Linked DNA regions of Anolis sagrei. The protein of the gene in region 1 purifies or fractionates together with the protein of each later gene. This does not show direct contact. Links are inferred from orthologs where the notes say so. Each region holds a gene or a part of one and is shown in the gene's direction. Other genes may lie near its edges. The genes, in order: SLF2, SMC5 and SLF1.

The links.
Region 2: the proteins of SLF2 (region 1) and SMC5 purify together in Homo sapiens (affinity purification with mass spectrometry; 3 studies listed by BioGRID and IntAct, with this or other methods). This does not show direct contact. The link is inferred for Anolis sagrei from reciprocal best matches to the Homo sapiens genes SLF2 and SMC5.
Region 3: the proteins of SLF2 (region 1) and SLF1 purify together in Homo sapiens (co-immunoprecipitation; 3 studies listed by BioGRID and IntAct, with this or other methods). This does not show direct contact. The link is inferred for Anolis sagrei from reciprocal best matches to the Homo sapiens genes SLF2 and SLF1.

The regions. Positions count from the first base shown.
Region 1 is NC_090023.1:215,161,339-215,168,747, forward strand, and holds the start of SLF2 (SMC5-SMC6 complex localization factor protein 2), read left to right. Parts: upstream 1-4,341; 5' UTR 4,342-4,472; coding exon 4,473-4,594; intron 4,595-7,409. UniProt on the Homo sapiens protein: Plays a role in the DNA damage response (DDR) pathway by regulating postreplication repair of UV-damaged DNA and genomic stability maintenance.
Region 2 is NC_090022.1:222,264,613-222,272,119, forward strand, and holds the start of SMC5 (structural maintenance of chromosomes protein 5), read left to right. Parts: upstream 1-4,502; 5' UTR 4,503-4,564; coding exon 4,565-4,740; intron 4,741-7,507. UniProt on the Homo sapiens protein: Core component of the SMC5-SMC6 complex, a complex involved in repair of DNA double-strand breaks by homologous recombination.
Region 3 is NC_090022.1:253,906,437-253,914,378, reverse strand, and holds the start of SLF1 (SMC5-SMC6 complex localization factor protein 1), read left to right. Parts: upstream 1-4,926; 5' UTR 4,927-5,011; intron 5,012-7,942. UniProt on the Homo sapiens protein: Plays a role in the DNA damage response (DDR) pathway by regulating postreplication repair of UV-damaged DNA and genomic stability maintenance.

The DNA.
Region 1 (7,409 bases):
GAATGGCTCTGCATCTTGTGGTGCCAGAGCGCAGCCTGTTCAGCACTTTCCCTGTTGCCCAGTTGTCAACTTTCAGTATGCAACAAAACAAGTAAACTCTGGCTCTTGCGTGCTGAATACCAGAATAGAGCTGTTGATAACAGGATGACTTGGATGTCTCTCATTCATAAGGTTGTGATAACTTGAAGTTCAACACACAGCAATTAATAAGAATAATGCTTATTCAAGAGGTCCTTTTGAAAATCCAGTTGGTAAAGTAAAGGTAAGGTAAAGGTAATGGTTTTCCCCTGACATTAAGTCCAGACATGCCTGACTCTGGGATGTGGTGCTCACCTCCATTTCTAAGTCGAAGAGCCAGCGTTGTCCATAGACATCTCAAATATCATGTGGCCAGCATGACTGCGTGGAGCGCCGTTACCTTCCCGCTGGAGCAGTACCTATTGATCTACTCACATTTGCATGTTTTCAAACTGCTAGATTGGCAGAAGTTGGGGCTGAAAGCGGAAGCTCACGCCGCTCCCCGGATTCAAACCTACGACCTTTCAGTCAACAAGCTCAGCAGCTCAGTGGTTTAACCCACTGCACCACCGGGGCTCCAACACCTATTCCTTGCCAATTCTTATAGGTTCCTGTGTCCTATCCTAACTAATATTTGAAGGCAAACATTGTTATATTACCTTTTTCTAATATCAAAGTGCATAGGGATCAAGGACCTTATTTGAAAAATCCTGAAAATATGATTCTACTCTTAGAACAAAGTCACAAGGAGGTTGTGGATGGAAATTTAGATTATGAATCCTGATAATGTTGCGGCTGATAGGAGAGATAATACCAAGAGCGATCCTTTTGAGAGGCAGAAAAGTACGTTTTTATTTTCAGCTGAGACCCTGGTATGGAATCTCCTCCAAGAGCAAACCTGAGTGAGGATAAAGGCATTGACTTCCCTTTCATACATCTTCAAATGCAGGCAAACAAAGAAACGTGCTTCTACATATGTAACATCATCACTACATCACCTTAAGCATCATAGAAATATCAATTTATATCTTTTTACATGCATGGGGCATCTCAGTTTTTTCTATCTAAGGAGCAGCTTACAGCAAATTAGAGATACTAGGGTTCAGCTACAGATCCATCAAGGTGCCTTCTTTTGACCTTACAGGAGGGAGAGAAACAGCACCACTTCTTACTTTTTAGAAGTAAGAAGGTACAGCCAGTGCTAAGCTGTACCAGTTTCTGGAATGTATAGATAATGACCCCCCTTTTCCTCCCCTTTCAACACAGATCTACGTCAGCATTCTTTCTGTGCTGTCAGCTTGACTTCCTAATACAGAGAACTTGATTTTTCTACATTTCAGTGTTTCTAATGTACATAAAATATATGTATAAATATCTATATTTCCAATATCTCCACATCAGTGAGACTAATGAAACAGTTACAGACTAGGTAGCTAACCTCACAAAGCATGGATATATAACTGGGATTGGAAGAGGCCATATAAATGTAGAAACAGAGTTGGGAGAGACCACATGGGCCATCCAGTCCAATCCCCTGCCAAGCAGGAAAAGAACAATCAAAGCACACCTGACAGATGGCCATCCAGCCTCTTTTAAAAGCCTCCAAAGAAGGAGCCTCCACCACACTCCAAGGCAGGGATTTCACTGTTGAACAGCTCTTATAGTCAGGAAGTTCTTCCTAATGTTTCAGCTGAATATCCTTTCCTGTAATTTGCACCCATTGCTCCATTGAGTCAGTCTCCAGGGCAGCAGCAAACAAGCCTGCTCCCTCTTTCTTGTGACATCCATTCAGATATTTAAACATGGCTATCATGCCTCCTCTCGAACTTCTCTTCTGGATGCTAAACATGTCCAACTCTTTAAGCCGCTCCTTGTATGGATTCATGGTCTCCAGCTGACTGGCACAACCTAGGGATCACAATCAGATACAGTGAAGACATCTCCCTTGCACTTTGCTACTCTGCTGCTGAGTATGCATGCCCAGTGTGGAACACATCTCACCATAATAAAACAGTAAATGTGGCTCTTAATGAGACATGCTGCATTATCACAGGGTGTCTGTGCCCTACACCACTGGAGAAATTACAGTGTTTAGCTGGTATTGCACCACCTGACATCTGCTGGGAAGTAGCAACCAGTAGTGAAAGGACCAAAGCATTGATATCTCCGGCCCATCCCATTTGGATATCAGCCAGCACGCCAACGACTTAAATCAAGAAATAGTTTTCTAAGATCTACAGAGACACTCGCTGGAACACCTCAGCAAGCAAGAGTCCAAAAGTGGCAGGCACAAACCCAGAACCTCAATCAATGGCTGATACCAAATGAGAGACTCCCCCCTGGGCACACAAAAAACTGGGCAACTTGGAAGGCGCTCTGGCACCACGAGATGCAGAGCCAACCTTAAGAAATGGGGCCATAAAGTGGAGTCCACGACATGCGAGTGTGGAGAAGAGCAAACCACAGACCACCTACTACAATGTAACCTGAGCCCTGCCACATGCACAATGGAGGACCTTCTTGCAGCAACACCAGAGGCACTCCAAGTGGCCAGCTACTGGTCAAAGGACATTTAATAGAATGCCAAGTTTGCAAACTTTGTGGTTTTTTGAAAAAATACAACTGTTTGGTTCGCTCCTGAGACACGATAAATAAACAACAGGAGTTGAGGTTTTTTTACAATGTCTGTAGCCTTCCCTGCCAGAGAATGTTGTGTCTTGTTGTTGTTCATTCGTTCAGTGGTTTCTGACTCCTCGTGACTTCATGGGCCAGTCCACGCCAGAGCTTCCTGTCGGTCGTCACCACCCCCAGCTCCTTCAAGGTCAAGCTAGTCACTTCAAGGACACCATCCATCCATCTTGCCCTTGGTCGGCCCCTCTTCCTTTTTCCTTCCATTTTCCCCAGCATCAGTCTTCTCTAAGCTTTCCTTTCTTCTCATGATGTGGCCAAAGTACTTCATCTTGGCCTCTACTATTCTTCCCTCCAATGAGCAGTCAGGCTTTATTTCCTGAAGTAAGGACTGGTTGGATCTTCTTGCTGTCCAAGGCACTCTCAGAACTTTTCTCCAACACCACAGTTCAATTCTCAGGATTCCACCTCATTTTTATTTGTCGTGTCAGGACAACCAGTCAAATTATATTACATTTCTAACAGAACAAAGCAAACAAACAGACAAAATACAAAATGTGTGAGTTTGGTAGTTGATTAAATGTCCTTTGACCAGTAGCTGGCCACTTGGAGTGCTTCTGGTGTTGCTGCAAGAAGGTCCTCCATTGTGCATGTGGCAGGGCTCAGGTTGCATTGCAGCAGGTGGTCAGTGGTTTGCTCCTCTCCACACTCGCATGTCAAGGATTCCACTTTGTAGCCCCATTTCTGAAGGTTGGCTCTGCATCTCCTGGTGCCAGAGTGCAGCCTGTTTGGTGCCTTCCAAGTCGCCCAGTCTTCTGTGTGCCCAGGGGGGAGTCTCTCATTTGGTATCAGCCATTGGTTGAGGTCCTGGGTTTGAGCCTGCCATTTTTGGACTCTTGCTTGCTGAGGTGTTCCAGCGAGTGTCTCTGTAGATCTTAGAAAACTATTTCTAGATTTAAGTCATTGAGGTGCTGGCTGATACCCAAACAGGGAATGAGCTGGAGATGTCTCTGCCTTGGTCCTTTCACTATTGGCTGCCACTTCCCGGCGCATGTCAGGTGGTGCGATACCAGCTAGACTGTGTAATTTCTCCAGTGGTGTAGGGCGCAGACACCCCGTGATAATGTGGCATGTCTCATTAAGAGCCACATCCACTGTTTTAGTGTGGTGAGATGTGTCTGGGCATGCATACTCAGCAGCATGCATACTGAGTTGGAACACCTCACTTGCTGAGGTGTTCCAGCGAGTGTCTCTGTAGATCTTAGAAAATCTAGATTTAAGTGGTTGACGTGCTGGCTGATACCCAAACAGGGGATGAGCTGGAGATGTCTCTGCCTTGGTCCTTTCATTGAGCCTTGGCAGTTAAAGTGGCGTCAAACTGCATTAACACTCCAAGTCAGATGTGCCTGCTTCAGCCGTTATTCCAACAGCTTTTAAAAGGCTCATCCTCCGCGCGCTTTCCAGCCAGCCAATCAGAAGCGACGCGAGCCGAAGGCGCCAAGGAGCGGCCTTTTGAAGCCAATTCCCTTTCCTCCCTCTTCTGAGGGAAAAACAGGACGGCTTGAGGTCACAAGACAGGAGGCTCTGAACCGCCTCTGCGCCAACAACCAATAGGAACAGCGCTTCTGTTTCTACTCCCGCCTCAAGTGGTGACATCAGCCTATAGAAAAGAAGCCCTCCCCTGAGCGCAACCAATAGCGGCCCTTCTTCCTTCCGAAGCCCTTTGCTCCGCTCCTTTGCGCGATGGAGTGCGGAAGGCGCGGGGGTTTCGTTTCCTCTCAGCCGGAACCCTGAGGTTTCCTCAAAAGGCGGCGACGTCGGGGGCTATGACGCAGAATCTTAGCAACGGCGCCGGCGAGGGGGGAAAGGGCAGCGACCCTGACCGCTCTCCCCTGAGCACCGCCGGGCGCCATTGCCGAACGGCGGGCCGAGAAGGCAAGGCTGGCAGGTAAACACAAGAGGTGTGGTTTCCCATGCAACGCCCTTGTTTGCACAATCTAGGCAGCCTTTCCTCACTTTTGTACCACTTTGAACTGCCAGGGAAGCTTGCTAGGCGATCCTAGGGCCTGTAGTTTGGGGATCAGCTTTCTCTGGCAGAGAAGGCTGAAGAGCATCCGAAACTACAACTCCCATTATTCCATAGCATTAAGCCATGGCAGTAAAAGTGGTGTCAAAGTGTATTCTAAATTACAAACCTCAGCTGTTGATGCAGCCACGCAAAGCAAAGGTTAGTCTTCTCTGCCAGGAAGCTCTGCTGTAATTCCATGGTTCAAAGTCGTGCCAAATCACAGTAGACTCTCAGTTAACTGGAACTCTCAAGCAACAGGAAACCTCTACGTCCCACCTTGGAGTCTAAGATCTTCTGGGGAGGCGCTGCTCTCGACCCCGCCTCTATCACAAGTGAGGTTGGCAGGGACAAGGAGCAGGGGCTTCTCGGTGGTGGCCCCCCGCCTGTGGAATTCACTCCCCGGGGAAATTAGATCAGCGACATGCCTCCTGTCCTTTAGGAAAAAATTGAAAACATGGATTTGGGACCAGGCATTAGGACAATCTGGCAGATAAAGAAAGGACTTTGACGATGGACAGGAATTGACTAATGGAATGGAATTATGGAACTCTGAAAGACGAACGCTGAGCATGAGATTAGTTTTATTGATGTGTTATATACCGACTGTTTTAACTGTGATAATTGTTTTAACTATGGTTTTGTACATTATGTGTATTTTGTGTAGGCATCGAATTGTGCCTTTTTGTAAGCCGCCCTGAGTCCCCCCTCGGGGGTTGAGAAGGGTGGGGTAGAAGTACTTTAAATAAATAAATAAATAAATATGGCTTGTTGTAGGTTTTTTCGGGCTATACGGCCATGTTCTAGAGGCATTCTCTTCTGACGTTTCACCTGCATCCTCAGAGGTAGTGAGGTACCTCTGAGGATGCTTGCCATAAATGCAGGCAAAACGTCAGAAGAGAATGCCTCTAGAACATGGCCATACCTCTGAGGATGCTTGCCATAGATGCAGGCGAAACGTCAGGAGAGAATGCCTCTAGAACATGGCCATATAGCCCGAAAAAACCTACAACAACCCAGTGATTCCAGCCATGAAAGCTTTCGACAATAACAGGAAACTATCTTTATCCAGCATCTACCTATTGTTGAGAGCCCCCGGTGGCGCAGCAGATTAAACTGCTTTTTGTGTGTGTGCCAGGAGCGATCCGAGAAACCGCACGTAGCTTCTGGTGTGAGAGAATTGGCCGTCTGCAAGGATGTTGCATAGGAGACTCCAAGATGTTTTACCATCCTTGTGGGAGGCTTCTCTCATGTCCCAACATGGGGAGCTGGAGTTGACAGAGGGAGCTCATCCGCGTTCTCCCAGGATTTGAACCTGTGGCCTGTCGGTCTTCAGTCCTGCTGACACAAGGGTTTAACTCACTGTGCCACCACTGAGCTGCTGAACTTGCTGACCGAAAGTTTGGCGGTTCGAATCCAGGGAGTGGAGTGAGCTCCTGTTGCTAGCCCCAGCTTCTGCCAACCTACCAGTTCGAAAACATGTAAGTGCTCCATGCAGTCATGCCGGCCACATGACCTTGACGCGTCTATTGACAATGCTGGCTCTTTGGCTTAAAAACTGAGATGAGCACCACCCTCCAGAATCAGACACGACTGGACTTAATGCCAGGGGAAAACTTTACATTTTCACCAATTGTTATTAACTTTTTATATCATGGTTTCCCTGAAAATAAGACACTGTCTTGTATTTATTTTTCCTCAAGACACACTATGGCTCATTTTCAGGGTATGTCTTATTTTTTATTAAATACTAGCCATCCCCTGCCACGCATTGCTGTGGCCCTGTCTGTTGATCTGGAAAATAAAGTAATGAGAAAGTGTTGGTTTCTAATATATGTAATTTCTTTATGCTTGTGGGTAAACAGTATTTCTTGCTGTTTCTTTGTCAGTGTTGATGTGGAGAGTGTCTGGTTTGCCCACCCTGGAACATGCAACATATCATTGTCCTTCTTCAGGAGTCTCTTTCAAATCTCTGATACTATATCTGTGTGTGTGTGAATCATATCTATCTACCTATCTATGGCTGGATGGCTCTTCGTCAGGAGGACTTTGATTACGTTTTCTTGCCCTGATGAAGGGAGTTGGATTGGATGGCCTTAAGTATTTTCTGTTGGTCATGAGGGTTCTGTGTGAGAAGTTTGCCCCGATTCTGTCGTTTGTGGGGTTCAGCATGCTCTTTGATTGTAGGTGAACTGTGAATCCCAGTGACTACAACTCCCAAATGTCAAGGTCTATTTCCCCCAAACTCCATCTGTGTTCATATTTGGACGTATCGAGTGCTTGTGCCAAGTTTGGTCCAGATCCATTATTGTTTGAGTCCACGGTGCTCTCTGGATGTAGGTGAACTACAAGTCCCAAACTCAAGGTCAATGCCCACCAAAACCTTCCAGTATTTTCTGTTGGTCATGGGAGTTCTGTGTGCCAAGTTTGGTTCAATTCCATCGTTGATGGAGTTCAGAATGCTCTTTGATTGTAGGTGAACTATAAATCCCAGCAACTACAACTCCCAAATGACAAAATCATAATTTTTTGAGTGATGGTCACTCTTTGTGTTGTGACACATTTTGTTGTCAAATTTGGTGTGATTTCATTCATTGGTTCTTTTGTTTTTATGGTAGTCATTATGCACAGAGCATTTTTATATATATATAGATAGATGGTACAACAATCTGCATTTATGGGATGATCTCTCTGGGCT
Region 2 (7,507 bases), on another chromosome or scaffold:
CCGAGCTCTGAGGATTACCTGGGAAGGGATCTCACTGGAGCATTGCAACACACCCAAATACCTGGGAGTCACTTTGGACCGTGCTCTGACCTACAAGAAGCACTGCCTGAACATCAAGCAAAACTTCGCCGAATTAGGCTGAAAAATGCGGTATAGAAATAAAGCAAATAATAAATAAGCAAAAAGTGGGCGCTAGAAACAACATCATACGAAAGCTGACTGGCACAACCTGGGGATCACAACCAGACACAGTGAAGACATCTGCCCTTGCGCTATGCTACTCTGCTGCTGAGTATGCATGCCCAGTGGGGAACACATCTCACCACACTAAAACAGTAGATGTGGCTCTTAATGAGACATGCCGCATTATCACAGGGTGACTGCGCCCCACACCACTGGAGAAATTACACTGCTTAGCCGGTATTGCACCACCTGACATCCCCCGGGAAGTAGCAGCCAAAATTGAAAGGACCAAGGCAGAGACATCTCCAGCTCATCCACTGTTTGGGTATCAGCCAGCACGTCAACGACTTAAATCAAGACATAGTTTTCTTAGCTCTACAGAGACACTCACTGGAACACCCCAGCAAGCAAGAGTCCAAAAGTGGCAGGCCCAAACCCAGCACCTCAATCCATGGGTGATATCAGATGATAGACTCCCCCCTGGGCACACAGAAGACTGGACGACTTGGAAGGCGCTGAAGAAACTGCGCTCTGGCACCACGAGATGCAGAGCCAATCTTAAGAAATGAGGCTACAGGGTGGAATCCTCGGCATGCAAGTGCGGAGAAGAACAAACCACTGACCACCTGCTGCAATGCAACCTGAGCCCTGCCACATGCACAATGGAGGACCTTCTTGTGGCAACACCAGAGGCACTCCAAGTGGCCAGATACTGGTCAAAGGACATTTAACCAACTACCAAGTTTGCAAAATCTGTGTTTTTTTTCCCTTTTTCTTTTTAATCTGTGTGTTTGTTTTGTTCTGTTAGAATTGTAACACAATGGTATGGTTGCTAATGACACGATAAATAAATAATTTATCTCTTTTTCTTCTTTGCAATATCCTTCTATCTCATTTGTCATTACCCCTAATTTCTAAATACATCTTTAAAATATTACATTATTTCCTTTAAGTTCACGTATAAATAAATAAATAAATAAATGTATATGCCCTATACCAGTCACTGAGGATTGACAGTACATCTCATGATATCTTTTTTTTGCAACTGGATATTTTAAATGAAGTCTTAAATGTCTTGCAAAATACTTGTAAAAGAAAGCCAACATGGTGTAGTTTGAACGGCATGGAATCAGGGTTCAAATCCTCACTCAGCCATGGAAACTCACAGGATGACCTTGGGTAAGCCACTCTCTCAGGACCCATCTACACTACCATATAAGCCAGTTTCTGAGTGCAGATTTACTGCATTGAACTGGATTATGGCAGTGTAGACTCATATAATCTAGTTTTAAGCAGGTAATCTGCATTCTGAAACTGAATTACGTGGCAGTGTGGATCCAGCCTCAGAGGAAGGCAAAGTCAAATCCCCTCTGGACTTTGCCACAAAAACCCTATGATACGGTTGCCTTAGACTTCCATAAATTGGAAAGAACTTAAAGACATGCAAGAGTATATTTGGAAAACACAGTGTCACCAGGAACTAATTCGAATACACTGCTGCCACCTGGTGGAAATACAAAGGTTATCTTCTAGATCAACTAAGACCTTGACCTGGAATCATAGAATCATAGAGTTGGAAGAGATCTCATGGGCCATCCAGTCCAACCCCTGCCAAGAAGCAGGAAAATCACATTCAAAGCATCCCTGACAGATGGCCATCCAGTCTCTGTTTCAAAGTCTCCAAAGAAGGAGCCTCCACCACACTCCAGGGCAGAGAGTTCCACTGCTGAACGGCTCTCACAGTCAGGAAGTTCTTCCTAATGTTCAGGTGGAATCTCCTTTCTTGTAGTTTAAAGCCATTGTTCCGCATCCTAGTCTCCAGGGCAGCAGCTTGCTTCCTCTCACATATTTATGCATGGCAATCATGTCTCCTCTCTGTTTTCTCTTCTTCAGGCTAAACATGCTCAGCTCTTTAAGCCACTCCTCATAGGGCTTGTTCTCCAGACCCTTGATCATTCATCCCTTATTAATTTTTGCAGGGGGCTCTGATTTTAAAGTATTCCATCCACAAACCTCTTGGATTCTCCCACTGTTTATTTTTTGTTATAATCCCAAATGTTTATTTTGTCTATCTTTTTCACATAGAAAATTAATAAAGACAGTATAAAAACATCATTATGTTTTTTTGACTGGCAGTGCTGGAGACCATCTTTCTGGAAGCAAATGGCGCAATATGTGCAATCACCATTCAATTGAATTTGAAGATGTCAAGGTGCGTGCTGCGGGTTGAAAGGAAAATGCATAAATCGTAAGAGGGAAAAATATGGACAGAGAACTCAAGACTGAATTGAACTGACCAAGGGAGAAAATTGAGAGTAAAGGATAGACAAAAGACCAGAAAGAAAAATTGTAGGTGGAGAAAAAATTAGAAAAATATAATAATAATAATAATAATAATAATAATAATAATAATAATTTTATTTCTTACCTCTCCCCGGCTTCTTGGCATGGGCCACGAGGTCTCTTCCAACTTTGTGATTCTATGATTCTCTCTTTGTGGCTTTAGGTGAGTTACAGCATAGTAAAAAAACAAACACTGTAAAAAAATTAAAATACATTTTAAATATGTTTCCATAAAAGATACATATTAAAGTGCACTTCTATAAAATACATGCAAAACAGAGTATTGCTTTAAACAGAGGGCAGGTAGAAAGGCACAGTATTTCCATCACTGTATGAAGCAAGGAGCCCCTGGTAGAGCAGTGTGTTAAACCGCTGAGCTGCTGAGCTTGTTGACCGAAAGGTCACAGGCAGGCATGTAGCGGGGGGGGGGGGGGGGGGGGGGCGCTCCGGGGGGCTTCAGCCCCCCCCCCCCCAAATTTTCATGGTGGTTCGTGAAAAGGCCTTACTGGTGCATTATTTAAACTGTTATGTTTATTCCTATCATGATCTGATCACCATGCTCAATATATCCCATATGCATGGGGGTATTGGGGTAATGATACAAAAGGTTTGCTAGGCTAGACCCTCTTTCACTCAGACTCAGCCCCCCCCCGAAACTCAGCCCCCCCCGAAATCCCCCTGAAAAAAAATTCAGCCCCCCCCCCCCCCCGAAACGAAATCCTGGCTACGGGCCTGGTCACAGGTTCAAATCCGAGGAGCGGCGTGAGCTTCTGCTGTTAGCCCCAGCTTCTGCCAACCTAGCAGTTCAAAAACATGCAAATGTGAGTAGATCAATAGGTACTGCTTCGTCTGGAAGGTAACGGCACTCCATGCAGTCATGCTGGCCACATGATCTTGGAGGTGTCTACGGACAACACCGGCCTAGAAAGCACCAACCACCAGAGTCGGACACGACTGTCAGGGGAAAACCTTTATCTTTACTACGAAGCAAGAAAGAGGGGAGTTTGAGACAGCCAAGTTATTGGTACAGGGAGGCTGAAAGGTAACAGTAATGGAGGAGTGGCAGATCTGTTCCTTCTGCCTTATGTCAGTGATAGATAATTGACACCACATACCCTAATTATACTTTAATTCTGAGCTTGCTCCTTAATAGATTTGTGGGAGTTGAAGTCCAAGACACCTGGAGGGCTGAAGTTTGCCCATGCCTGATATAGACTCTGCAGCTCAGCAGGTGAAACTGAAGGTCTATAGGCACGACGACTACATTTCCCAGTAAGCCCTGTGCTACCAAAACCTAACTCGTAATGATTTCTGGCGCAAAGGACAACGGGAATCGTAGTTTTCTCCTCTCCATATAGTGTAGGAGCCATAAGGAAAAGCTACAACTCTTTAGAGCATTGAACCATGGCAGTTGATCTGTCAGACTGTATTGATACTACATTAATCTGTCAAGCTGCATTGATTCTTCACTGCATGGGCAAACTTGGTCCTCCAGGTGTTTTGGACTTCAGCTCCCACAATTCCTAAAGTCCAAACACCTGGAGGGCCGAAGTTTGCCCATGCCTGCTCTAGAATCTGCAGCTCAACATAACCTGAAGGTCTATAGCTACAGTGACTACATTTCCCAGTAAGCCCTGCGCCACCAAAACCTAACTCGCAATGATTTCTGGCGCAAGGGACCATGGGAATCGTAGTTTTCCCCTCTCCATATAGTGTAGGAGCCATAAGGAAAATCTTGGGGTTTCTTCCGCGTATCGAGTAGCCCCAGCCGCACCACGTGAACAAGGCGGCACGCGCCACTAGCCAATCCCAGCGTGACACCGCCTTTGTGTGTTCCCGCGCTCCTCCTCCGTGACCAATCAGAACCCAGTTCAGGTTTTTAACTGTTTTCTAAAGGGAGGGGCATATTTCTGAGCCCAGCCAATGACAAACGACCTCCGCATGACGTTCTGCCGAGCCGGCCAATGGGCGATGGGCGTTCCATTGCCGCTTTTCTCAACCCTCGCAACAAGAAGTGCCGTTGCGGGAAGCCGTAAAGATGGCGACTCCTGCCAAGCGCAAGTCAAAGGGCGCCGAAGCCGGAGAGAGCAGTGGCAGCCGCCGCAGGGGCCAGCGGAGCGTGGAGGTGGCAGAGCCGGAAGCTGGTACCCAGCGGGAAGGAGCGTCGCGCTTTGTAGAAGGTGCTATCCTGCGGATATCTATGGAGAACTTCCTGTAAGTGGGGGGGGGGGGGGGGGGGGTGAGGACTTGGCACGGGGCTTTGGGTTACCATGGAGACAGCGCTCCTATAAAAGAGGGAGGAGCGCGCTCAGTGGGTGGAGATGCTGGATGGTCCTGGCACAGGGCGGAGGGTTCTCTCACTGCAGAAGGAGTCCCCAGTCAAGACACACAATTCAGCTCCGGGTCATAGTTTGGGTGATAGTATGATAGCTGGGTCACCGGTTAGGCTTAGGGTAGTAATAATAATAATAATAATAATAATCTATATATATATAAAATGCTCTGTACATAGTGAGTACCTTAAAAACAAAAGAACCAATGAACGAAATCACACCAAATTTGGCAACAAAACGTCTCACAACACAAGGAGTGACCATCACTCAAAAATTATGATTTTGTCATTTGGGAGTTGTAGTTGCTGGGATTTATAGTTCACCTACAATCAAAGAGCATTCTAAACTCCATCAACGATGGAATTGAACCATACTTGGCACACAGAACTCCCCTGACCAACAGAAAATACTGGAAGGGTTTGGTGGGCACTGATCTTGAGTTTGGGAGTTGTAGTTCACCTACAACCAGAGAGAACTGTGGACTCAAACAATGATGGATCTGGAGCAAACTTGGCACAAACACTCAGTACGCCCAAATATGAACACAGATGGAGTTTGGGGGGAAATAGACCTTGACATTTGGGAGTTGTAGTCACTGGGATTCACAGTATACCTATAATCAAAGAGCGTTCTGAACTCCACAAACCACAGAATCGGGGCAAACTTCCCACACAGAACTCCCATGACCAACAGAAAATACTTAAGGCCATTCAATTCAATTCCCCTCATCAGGTCAAGAAAACGTAATCAAAGTCCTCCTGACAAAGAGCCATCCAGCCATAGGTATAGATAGACAGATCTGATTCACACACATAGAGATATAGTATCATAAATTTGAAAGGGACCCTTAAAGAAGGACAATATGTTGCATGTTCCAGGGTGGGCAAACCAGACACTCTCCACATCAACACTGACATAGAAACAGAAATACTGTTTACCCACAAGCATAAAGAAATTACATATATTAGAAACCAACACTTTCTAATTACTTTATTTTCCAGATCAATAGACTGGGCCACAGCAACGTGTGGCAGGGGACAGCTAGTAATAATAATAAAAAACTTTATTTATACCCCGCCACCATCTCCCCAAAGGGACTTGAGGTGGCTTACATGAGGCCAAGCCCATCAAATACAAATACAACAGTACATCAACAAAGCAAACAAGCAAATAAAACAATATAAAAACATAAACATATAAGCAATAACACAAGATTTAAAACACTATAGCAGGGCCAAATGTAATAGAAAAAAATTAAAAACACTGGGTTTGTACAGAGTAGGGTATGTCTAAACATGGGGGTTTTAGAGGGTGATGTAGGGAGATCAATCCAACGGATAAAGTGCAGAGGATGTATAGTAGAAAATTGGTCAGATCAGGGGCTTATTTCCTTTATTCAGGGAAGGCACACTAGAACAGCCACGTTTTCAAGCTCTTCCTAAAGACTGCCAAAGTGCGGGCTTGTCTGATATCTTTAGGGAGTGAGTTCCAGAGTCGGGGGGCCACCATAGAGAAGGCCCTCTCCCTCATCCTCGTTAGGGTAAGGTTTAGGGTTTGTGTTAGGGTTACGATTAGGGTGAAGGGTTAGGCTTAGGGTATTATATTCTAATAATATTCTAATAATATAATATATTGTGTATACATACATTTATAATATTATAATGTACTGCAATATGATAATAATAATATATTATAATTATATATTTACATTACTTGTAATATTACTAATAATATTATGATATAGTGGTATGGTGCAATATAGCAATGTTTAATGCTGATATTGTACTATGCTAATAATATAATATATTGTATGTAATATATACCTTGTAAGCCGCTCTTGAGTCCCCTTCGGGGTGAGCAGGGCAGCACATAAATGCTGTAAATAAACAAATAGGGTAAGGTTTGCAGTGGTTCTCAACCTGGGGTCCCCAGATGTTTCTGGCCTACAACTCCCAGAAATCCCAGCCAGTTTACCAGCTGTTAGGACTTCAGGGAGTTGAAGGCAAAAAACATCTGGGGACCCCAGGTTGAGAACCACTGGTTTAGGGTAAGGGTTCAGGTAAGGCTTAGGGTTTTACCATTAAAGAACTCTTACATTCCTTCTATAACAGGGGTCCTCAAACTTTTTAAACAGAGGGCCAGGTCACTGTCCATCAAACTGTTGGAGGGCTGGATTATAATTTGAAGGAAAATGAACGCCTATGCACACTATACATATCTTATTTGTAGTGGGGAAAAACACTTAAAAACAATACAATAATTAAAATGAAGAACAATTTTAACAAATATAAACTTATTAGTTTTTCAGTGGGAAGTGTGGGCCTGCTTTTGACTAATGAGATAGGATTGGTGTTGCTGCTGCTGCTGTTGTTGTTGTTGTTGTTGTTGTTGTTGTGTGCTTTCAAGTCATTTCAGGCTTAGGCTGACCCTGAGCGAGGGCCGGGTGAATGACCTTGGAGGGCTGTTTCCGGCCTCCGGGCCTTAGTTTGAGGACCCCTGTTCTATAATATCTTGTGTTCCGTTCTGCGTTACACAAACAGCGCTCCCGAAGGAGCGAAGCAGAAAGAGCATAAGACTCAGAACTTCTGGACCCAGCTTTCATACTATTACCGCAAAACCCAGTGGTTCTCAACCTGGGGTCCCGAGAT
Region 3 (7,942 bases), on another chromosome or scaffold:
CTAAACTTGGTAAAATGGAACAGTCCAACTAAGAAATAAACAGGCCGAGACATCACATGCTCTGAAATAACAGTACTCTGAGATTAGAGATTATTGTTTCTCCCAGGAAGTATGTTATCTAAGGCACACAGCCCACCAGGAACAGAAGTTTTAAGATATGATTTCAGCTAGTGATGTCAAGAAGCTTCCACACATTAACTTTCGTAAATTTTCTCTTGTTCCATCACCTGAATTTCTCTCACACATCTCTATTTAAAACAACAACAACATGCATTGTGATTAAGAATGCTTTTTTTGAGCACCTGGTTTTTTGTTTGCATCCTTCTCTGACTATGGAAATTCTGAAACAAACGTTTTAGGCTGACTTCTACTGTGGCCTGTGGACAGCTATAGCAGCCCACCACCATCCCTCTTTTTCTTATGAACACAAAGCAAAGAAACACTTGTTTCTCATAAGAGAATTTCATACTACTCCTTCATACACATACCAAATGCAAAATTCAATAGGTGTGGAGAGGCCACTGTATATGGCCACTGTCTAAAACTTTCGGAATTTGTTTAGAACTCCTGAAATTAACTTTCCTATTCTATAGGTCTAGTTCTGTATGAATTCTGCAATGAAGCATGACTCTGAAGAACTAAAATGAACTTTATCATAGGATGAAAGTTTAACTATTTTTACAAAAAGACATTATACATAGATCATAGAAAGTTTATTTTTTAAATGAAATCAGTGAATTGTTATGTTAATAATTTTATTTCTCAAGTTATGTTGATTGATGATTTACTGTGTTTGAATAGGCAAAGAGCATTTGCTCCACAGCCTCCAAAAATTCTTCCACAAACTGTTGGGTGTCATCTTTGATATTTATCACCATGTAAGCACTTTTGTTTATCCATTCAGTCACTTCCGACTCTTTGTGACCTCATGGACCAGTCCACACCAGAGCTCCCTGTCGGCCATCACCATCCTCAGCTCCTTCACAGTCAAGCCACTTCAAGGATACCATCCATCCATTTTGCCATTCGCCGGCCCCTCTTTCATTTTCCTTCCATTTTCCCCAGCATCATTGTCTTCTCCTGTTTTCTTATGATGTGGCCAAAGTACTTCAACTTTGGCTCCAACCCTAAGAACTGCAGTGCTACTTTCCATCCCCAAAATAGAGAACATGTATCATCATGTGTGCACAATCATGTTTTTTTTACTGCATCACATCCACAATCACAAGTCAGAACTGTTCTGTCAAACCAAGCCAATAATAAGTGCAGTAAATATAGTAGCAAGACCATCATCATTTGGAGCATTAGATTCTTCTAAAAGGATCCCTGTGAGCAGTCCAAGAAGCAGTCACCTGGCTAAAGTGTTAAACAGTTGAGCATTCCCTATCTGGAATCCCAAACTCAGTAGACTCTCTGTTAATTAACGGAAGCAACTAGAACTCCCAAATAGCAAAAGTTTGACTGCCATTTAATTAAAATTGCATACTGCATTCACAAAGCTGTTTTTATAATTAAGTAAAAGTGTGTTACCTTAAAATAAGTTTGCCTTTGTCTTACCTTGTTTCTAATTACTGTATTTCAATATTAATATCATGTCAACACTGAGTTTATAGTGTCGTATAATATTGTATATAGTATCAGGCCTATTTTAATAGTAACTCTCAAGCAACCAGAAACCATATTTATTCAGTGCTACCAATCTTCATAGGTGTCAATTAATTGAGTCCAATATTCAAAATTCCCCACATGGATAGCTGACATAGTGACACATTTGCTTTCTGATTATTCAACATAAACACACCTCATTTCATGCACAGTATTACTAAAAATGTAGTATAAAATTGCAGTGGGTCCTTCATATCCACTGGAGTGGATATGCACCTTGCCCCCACCCCCCAAACCCATGTATGCTCAAGTCCCATTAAACACATTCATGTAATGAAATGCTTTCCTGTATATAATATGGTAAAATCAAGGTTTGCTTTACAAAAACAAAAACAAAAAAAGGGGGGGGGCTGCTTTCAAGTCATGGATGACTGAATCTGTGGATACAGAGAGATGACTGTACCTTACACGATGTGTGCATGAAGCACACATTAATTTTGTGTTTTAGACTTAAATCCTATCTACAAAACAACTTATTATTATGTAAAAATATGGAAGTATAAGTATTCCAATGAGGGGATCCAAAATATCCAAGCATTTCTGATAAGGGATACTTGACTTGTACAAGATCTATAATTAGCACTTTTGCTACTAGTAGAGCAGTACCACTGAGAAGTCACAGCTTTGTGTCCCCTTTATGGCTCTCAGCACAAGTCTATACTTAGACATAATCTCCTTTAAACTCAATGGGATTTACTCAGGAATTGAAAATACACAATGCAACAACTGAGTGGCCACAATAACTTCAGCTGACTTCCAAAGAGAGTAGCAGTGAATGCCCAGGAAATTTGAAAAAGTACGCCAGTTATAATAATGATAATAATAACCTTTATTTATATGTTGCTTTTCTCCCACAATGAAGACCCAATGTTGTTTCCAACATTTTAAAATACAATACAAAATCAACCACTCTCAACATATAAACATTGTAAACAATCACATAGTACATAAACAAACCTTTAAAACAATATACATTGTTTTGTCCTGTTATATCTTATTGCATTAGTTCCCCTTATGTTACCTATTAGGGCAGTGGCTCCCAACCTTGTTTTGCCCCTGTCCCACCTAAGCATCTAAATTCCTGATTCCCCCCCCCCCCCCCCCCCGCCCTCGACATATAGTTCTGATTATTAAAAAAGTGAAATCCTATTTAGGTGGAGGAAACTTTAAAGGCCTTTTTATGAGTGATGGTCACTTGTTGGCCTGATAGGTGTGTTGTATCCACATTTGGTGTCAATCTGTCCAATGGTTTTTGAGTTATGTTAATCCCACAAACGGACATTACATTTTTATTTATATAGATTTACAGTATTTATATAACACTTTTCTCACCCCTGGGGGGACTCAAAGCAGTTTACAAAAAATAATGGCAAAATTCAATGCCTTACATACATAAACCAAATCATAAATCGAACAGCATATGCCTAAGCATAAAATGCAATACAACAAATTTGCCGTAAGATAATAGGACATTCAAGCACAAAGTATAAAAATTGAAAACACCTAATAAAAACATTAAAATCACATGATCCAAACTCGTAGACCAGGTCATTCCAGATTATTTAATGTATTTATATGCATTGTTTTATGATTTTTTTATTATTTTAATGCACAATGTATTTGTATGTTTTATGTTGTAATGCGGCACTGAATATTGCCAATTTGGAAGCTGCTCTGAAGCCCCTTCCACAGAACTGAATAAAACTCAACATTATCTGCTTTGAACTGGGATATAGGACAGTGTGGACTAAGATAACTCAGTTCAAAGCAGATATTCTAGGTTATATGGCTGTGTGGAAGGGTTCTGAGTCTCCTCTGGGGTTGAGATAGAGCAGGGATAAAAATGTAGTAAATAAATAAAGTCTTGAGTTTTCTCTGCCACACCATGCCACACCAAACTACAACTCCCATTGTATTGACCCATGGCAGTTAAAAGTGGTGTCAAACAGCATTCATTCTCAAGCAGGAATGGGCAGATTGTGAAATTGTGTGAGTTGAAATCCAAAACATCTAGAGGGTGAAAGTTTGCCCATGCTTGGTGTAAATGCTTCACGACAGAATAATAATAATAATAATAATAATAATAATAATAATAGCGACCATTAGAACAAATGCCATCAAAGCCAGGATTGAAAAGTCTATGACAGATCCCAAATGTAGACTCTGCAAGGAAGCAGATGAAACAGTAGATCACATCCTCAGCTGCTGCAAGAAGATTGTGCAGACCGACTACAAGCAGAGGCACAACACCGTTGCTCAGATGATTCATTGCAACCTGTGCCACAAACACCATCTGCCTGCGACAAAAAACTGGTGGGATCACAAGCCAGAAAAAGTTACAGAGAATGAACACATCAAACTCCTCTGGGACTTTCATATTCAGACAGAGTTTTGGAGCACACTACTCCTGACCTCAAAATCCTGTTAAAAAACAAAGTATGAATCGTTGATGTCGCAATCCCAGGCGACAGCAGGATTGAAGAGAAACAACTGGAAAAGCTGACATGATATGTGGACTCATCTTATTGTGTTTCTAATAATAATAATAATAATAATAATAATAATAATGGTATAATAATAATAATAATACATCACACAGTCCGAGACACTTGGGAGGTGTCCGACATGTGATCCAATACAACAGCCAGCAGAGTGATCTTGTTTGCTGTGGACTCATCTTATTGTGTTTCTAATAATAATAATAATAGTAATAATAATAACAACAATAATAATGAAGGAATAATAATAATAATAATAATAATAATAATAATACATCACACAGTCCTAGCCGCTTGGGAAGTATTTGACTTGTGATTTTGTGACACGAAATCCAGCATATAGATCTCGTTTGCTGTGACATACTGTTATTTTTGTGTCAGTAAAATAATAATGATAATAATAATAATAATAGTAAGCCCCCGTAGAGAAGCTCCAGCGCTGGAGAATCAACACCCACTCGAGGCCAGGGATTCCTGGGAGTTGCAGTTGTGTGAGGCGGCAAGACTTTGGGGCAGAGAAGGCGGGAGGCCTTGTCAAACTACAACTCCCGTGACTGTACAGCCTGGAGCCATGGCGGTGGAAGCTGAGGTCTCCCCTTGGCGTCCCCCGTTCCTCCTCCCTCGGGTGCCACTTACCCACTAGGCCGCGCCCGCTCCCTTCTCACTCGGGCGCCACGGAGACCGGCCGGCGTCGCTGACAACGGGCCGGAAGTCCTGGGCTCCACTTCCGGGGGCGGGGCTTCATCTCCCCGAGCCCGCCAACCAGGAGGACGCGGAAGCGGGAAAGGGAGAGAGAGGAAGAGAGAGAGAGGGAGAGAAGAGCCGGGCGAGGTGGTCCTCCTAAGAAGGTAAAAGGCGCGGAGCTGGGCATGTGCGTTTTGCTGGCTTTCGGGTTGCGCTTGGGAGAGGGCCTCTTGGCCTGGCTTAGGGCTACGCTACAGCAGGGATGCAGCATGGCACTCCTTTCATTGATATGGAGCAAAAGGAAAGGGCTTGTGGCTGTTCGGAATGGTGGCAGATGAAGTCCAAAACACCCGGAGAGAGGGCCCAAGTTGGCCCATGCCTGGTGTAGACGAAGAGTACAATAGCGTCCCTTATATATACAGAACCTGGCTTCCATATTATTCTGTAGTACAGCCAGGCCTGTAGCGAGGGGGGGATGGGGGGGGGGTTAGGGGTTCAACCCCCCCCCTCCCGAAATGTTTCAGATTTTTTTTTTTTTTAAAAACCCAGTTTACTCATGAATTTTAACTGGTTAACCAAATCCGCATGCTAAGTCTATGAGATGCAAAAAAATTAAGAGTCCCTCCAGAACTGCAAACACTATCTCAAGCCAATATTTATTTATTATTTACCTTATTTATTTATTTACCTTACTTATATACTGCTGTTCTCAGCCCGAAGGCAACTCACAGCGGTTCACAACAAATACGAACAGCAAAAATTCAGTGCTACAGTATAGAAACAGTTAACAACCTAACACATTACACAATTAATAAACAGTTACTACAATACCCATTCACTGTCGTCTCGTCATCAAAAACATGTTCCAGATTCGTCATCCATTGTTCCATTCCAATGTTCATTAACCAATCATTGCACTAATTATTGGAACGCCTGCTCAAACAGCCAGGTCTTCACTTTTTTGCGGAATACCATTAGAGATGGTGCTAGTCTAATGTCCGTAGGAAGGGCGTTCCACAGCCGATGAGCCACCACCAAGAAGGCCCTATCTCTCGTCCCCGCCAGCCGAGCTTGAGAAGCAGGCGGGATCAAGAGCAGGGTCTCCCTGGAAGATCTCAAAGTCCTGGTGGGTTCATAGGCAGAGATGCGGTCGGATAGGTAGCTTGGGCCCGAACCATTTAGGGCTTTAAAGGCCAACGCCAGCACTTTGAATTCAGCCCAGTAGCAGATCGGTAGCCAGTGGAGTTGGCACAACAGGGGGGTTGTATGTTCCCTGCGCTCCGCTCCTGTTAAAATCATGGCTGCCGAGCGTTGGACTAGTTGGAGCTTCCGAGCTGTCTTCAAAGGCAACCCCACGTAGAGAGCGTTGCAGTAGTCTAAACGGGATGTAACCAGAGCGTGGACTACTGTGGCCAAGTTATTCTAACTTATATGCCGCCACTCCCCTGGGGTTCGGAGCGGCTTACAAGAACAGGCTAAAATCAAACACAATTGAAAAACAATTTAAAACAATTTAAAAACAGCAATATCAGAGATCAAAGTCCCGTCGAAACAGATATGTCTTACATGCCCTGCGGAAAGCTGATAAGTCCCGCAAGGCACGGACTTCAGGTGGCAGAGTATTCCAGAGTGATGGTGCCACTGCTGTAAAGGCTCTGCGTCTGGTTGCTGTTAGACACAAGGTCTTGACACTGGGAATTTCCAATAGATCATGGTCCTCAGAACGGACGGATCTCTGGGGTTGGTAGGGGGTGAGGCGGTCCCTCAGGTACATCGGCCCCAGACCATGCAAGGCCTTAAATATTGACAATTTATTCACACTGTCATTACTTGCAGGAATAGCCGATGTAGTGAAGCAACCAAGTTGGTTGTGTGTGTGTTGAATGCTCTCATTAAGGAGGCCAGACTTGGTGGAGATGGTTGACAGGGGCGGAGCTGCAGGCTATTGAAGGCTGCTCTGCCCCTGTTGTGCTCTTTGCTTCAGCGTGAGCTAGAAGGCAGGTTTCAACACATACACCCCCCGCAAAATTTTCAACTTCCCTCCCCCAAAAATTTCAACCCATCCCGAATTTTTTTTCTGGCTACGGCCCTGAGTACAGCGGAAGGAATAGGTTTGTATTCACAAAAGATCGTGCTAAAATAAAATCAAGTTAGATTTAAGGGTGCTGCCACATTTCCTGTTCTCCCTCCTTCTTGTATTATGCTCCACATAAACATTAAAAAAACCAAGATTATGGCAACAAGAATGATTGACAACTGGAAAATAGAGGGAGAAAATGTGGAGGCCATGACAGACTTTGTATTTCTAGGTGCAAAGATTACTGCAGACGCAGACTGCGGCCAGGAAATCAGGAAACGCTTACTTCTTGGGAGGAGAGCAATGTCCAGTCTCGATAAAATAGTAAAGAGTAGAGACATCAGACTGGCAACAAAGATCCGCCTAGTCAAAGCCATGGTATTCCCTGTAGTAACCTACGGATGTGAGAGCTGAACCTTAGGAAAGGCTGAGCGAAGGAAGATCGATGCTTTTGAGCTGTGGTGTTGGAGGAAAGTTTAGAGAGTGCCTTGGACTGCGAGAAGATCCAACCAGTCCATCCTCCAGGAAATAAAGCCAGGCTGCTCATTGGAGGGAAGGATACTAGAGACAAAGTTGAAGTACTTTGGCCACATCATGAGGAGACAGCAAAGCCTAAGAAGACAATTATGCTGGGGAAAGTGGAAGGCAAAAGGAAGAGGGGCCGACCAAGGACAAGATGGATGGATGGCATCCTTGAAGTGACTGGACTGACCTTGAAGGAGCAGGGGGTGGTGACGGCCGACAGGGAGCTCTGGCGTGGGCTGGTCCATGAGGTTACGAAGAGTCAGAGAGGACTGAACGAATGAACAACAAACAGAGTTGGAAGAGACCTCATGGGTAGGGCCATAGCCAGAAAAAAAAAATCGGGGAGGGTTGAAACTTTTTTTTAGCAAATCATGAAGAGTAGTTCGATAACACAACAACATTTTTAATACAGTCCAAAGATCCTTATTGCTCCGTAAAAGGTAGAAGATACAAGGTATGCAAGGTTAGTAAGGCCAAAAATAGCCAAAACTGA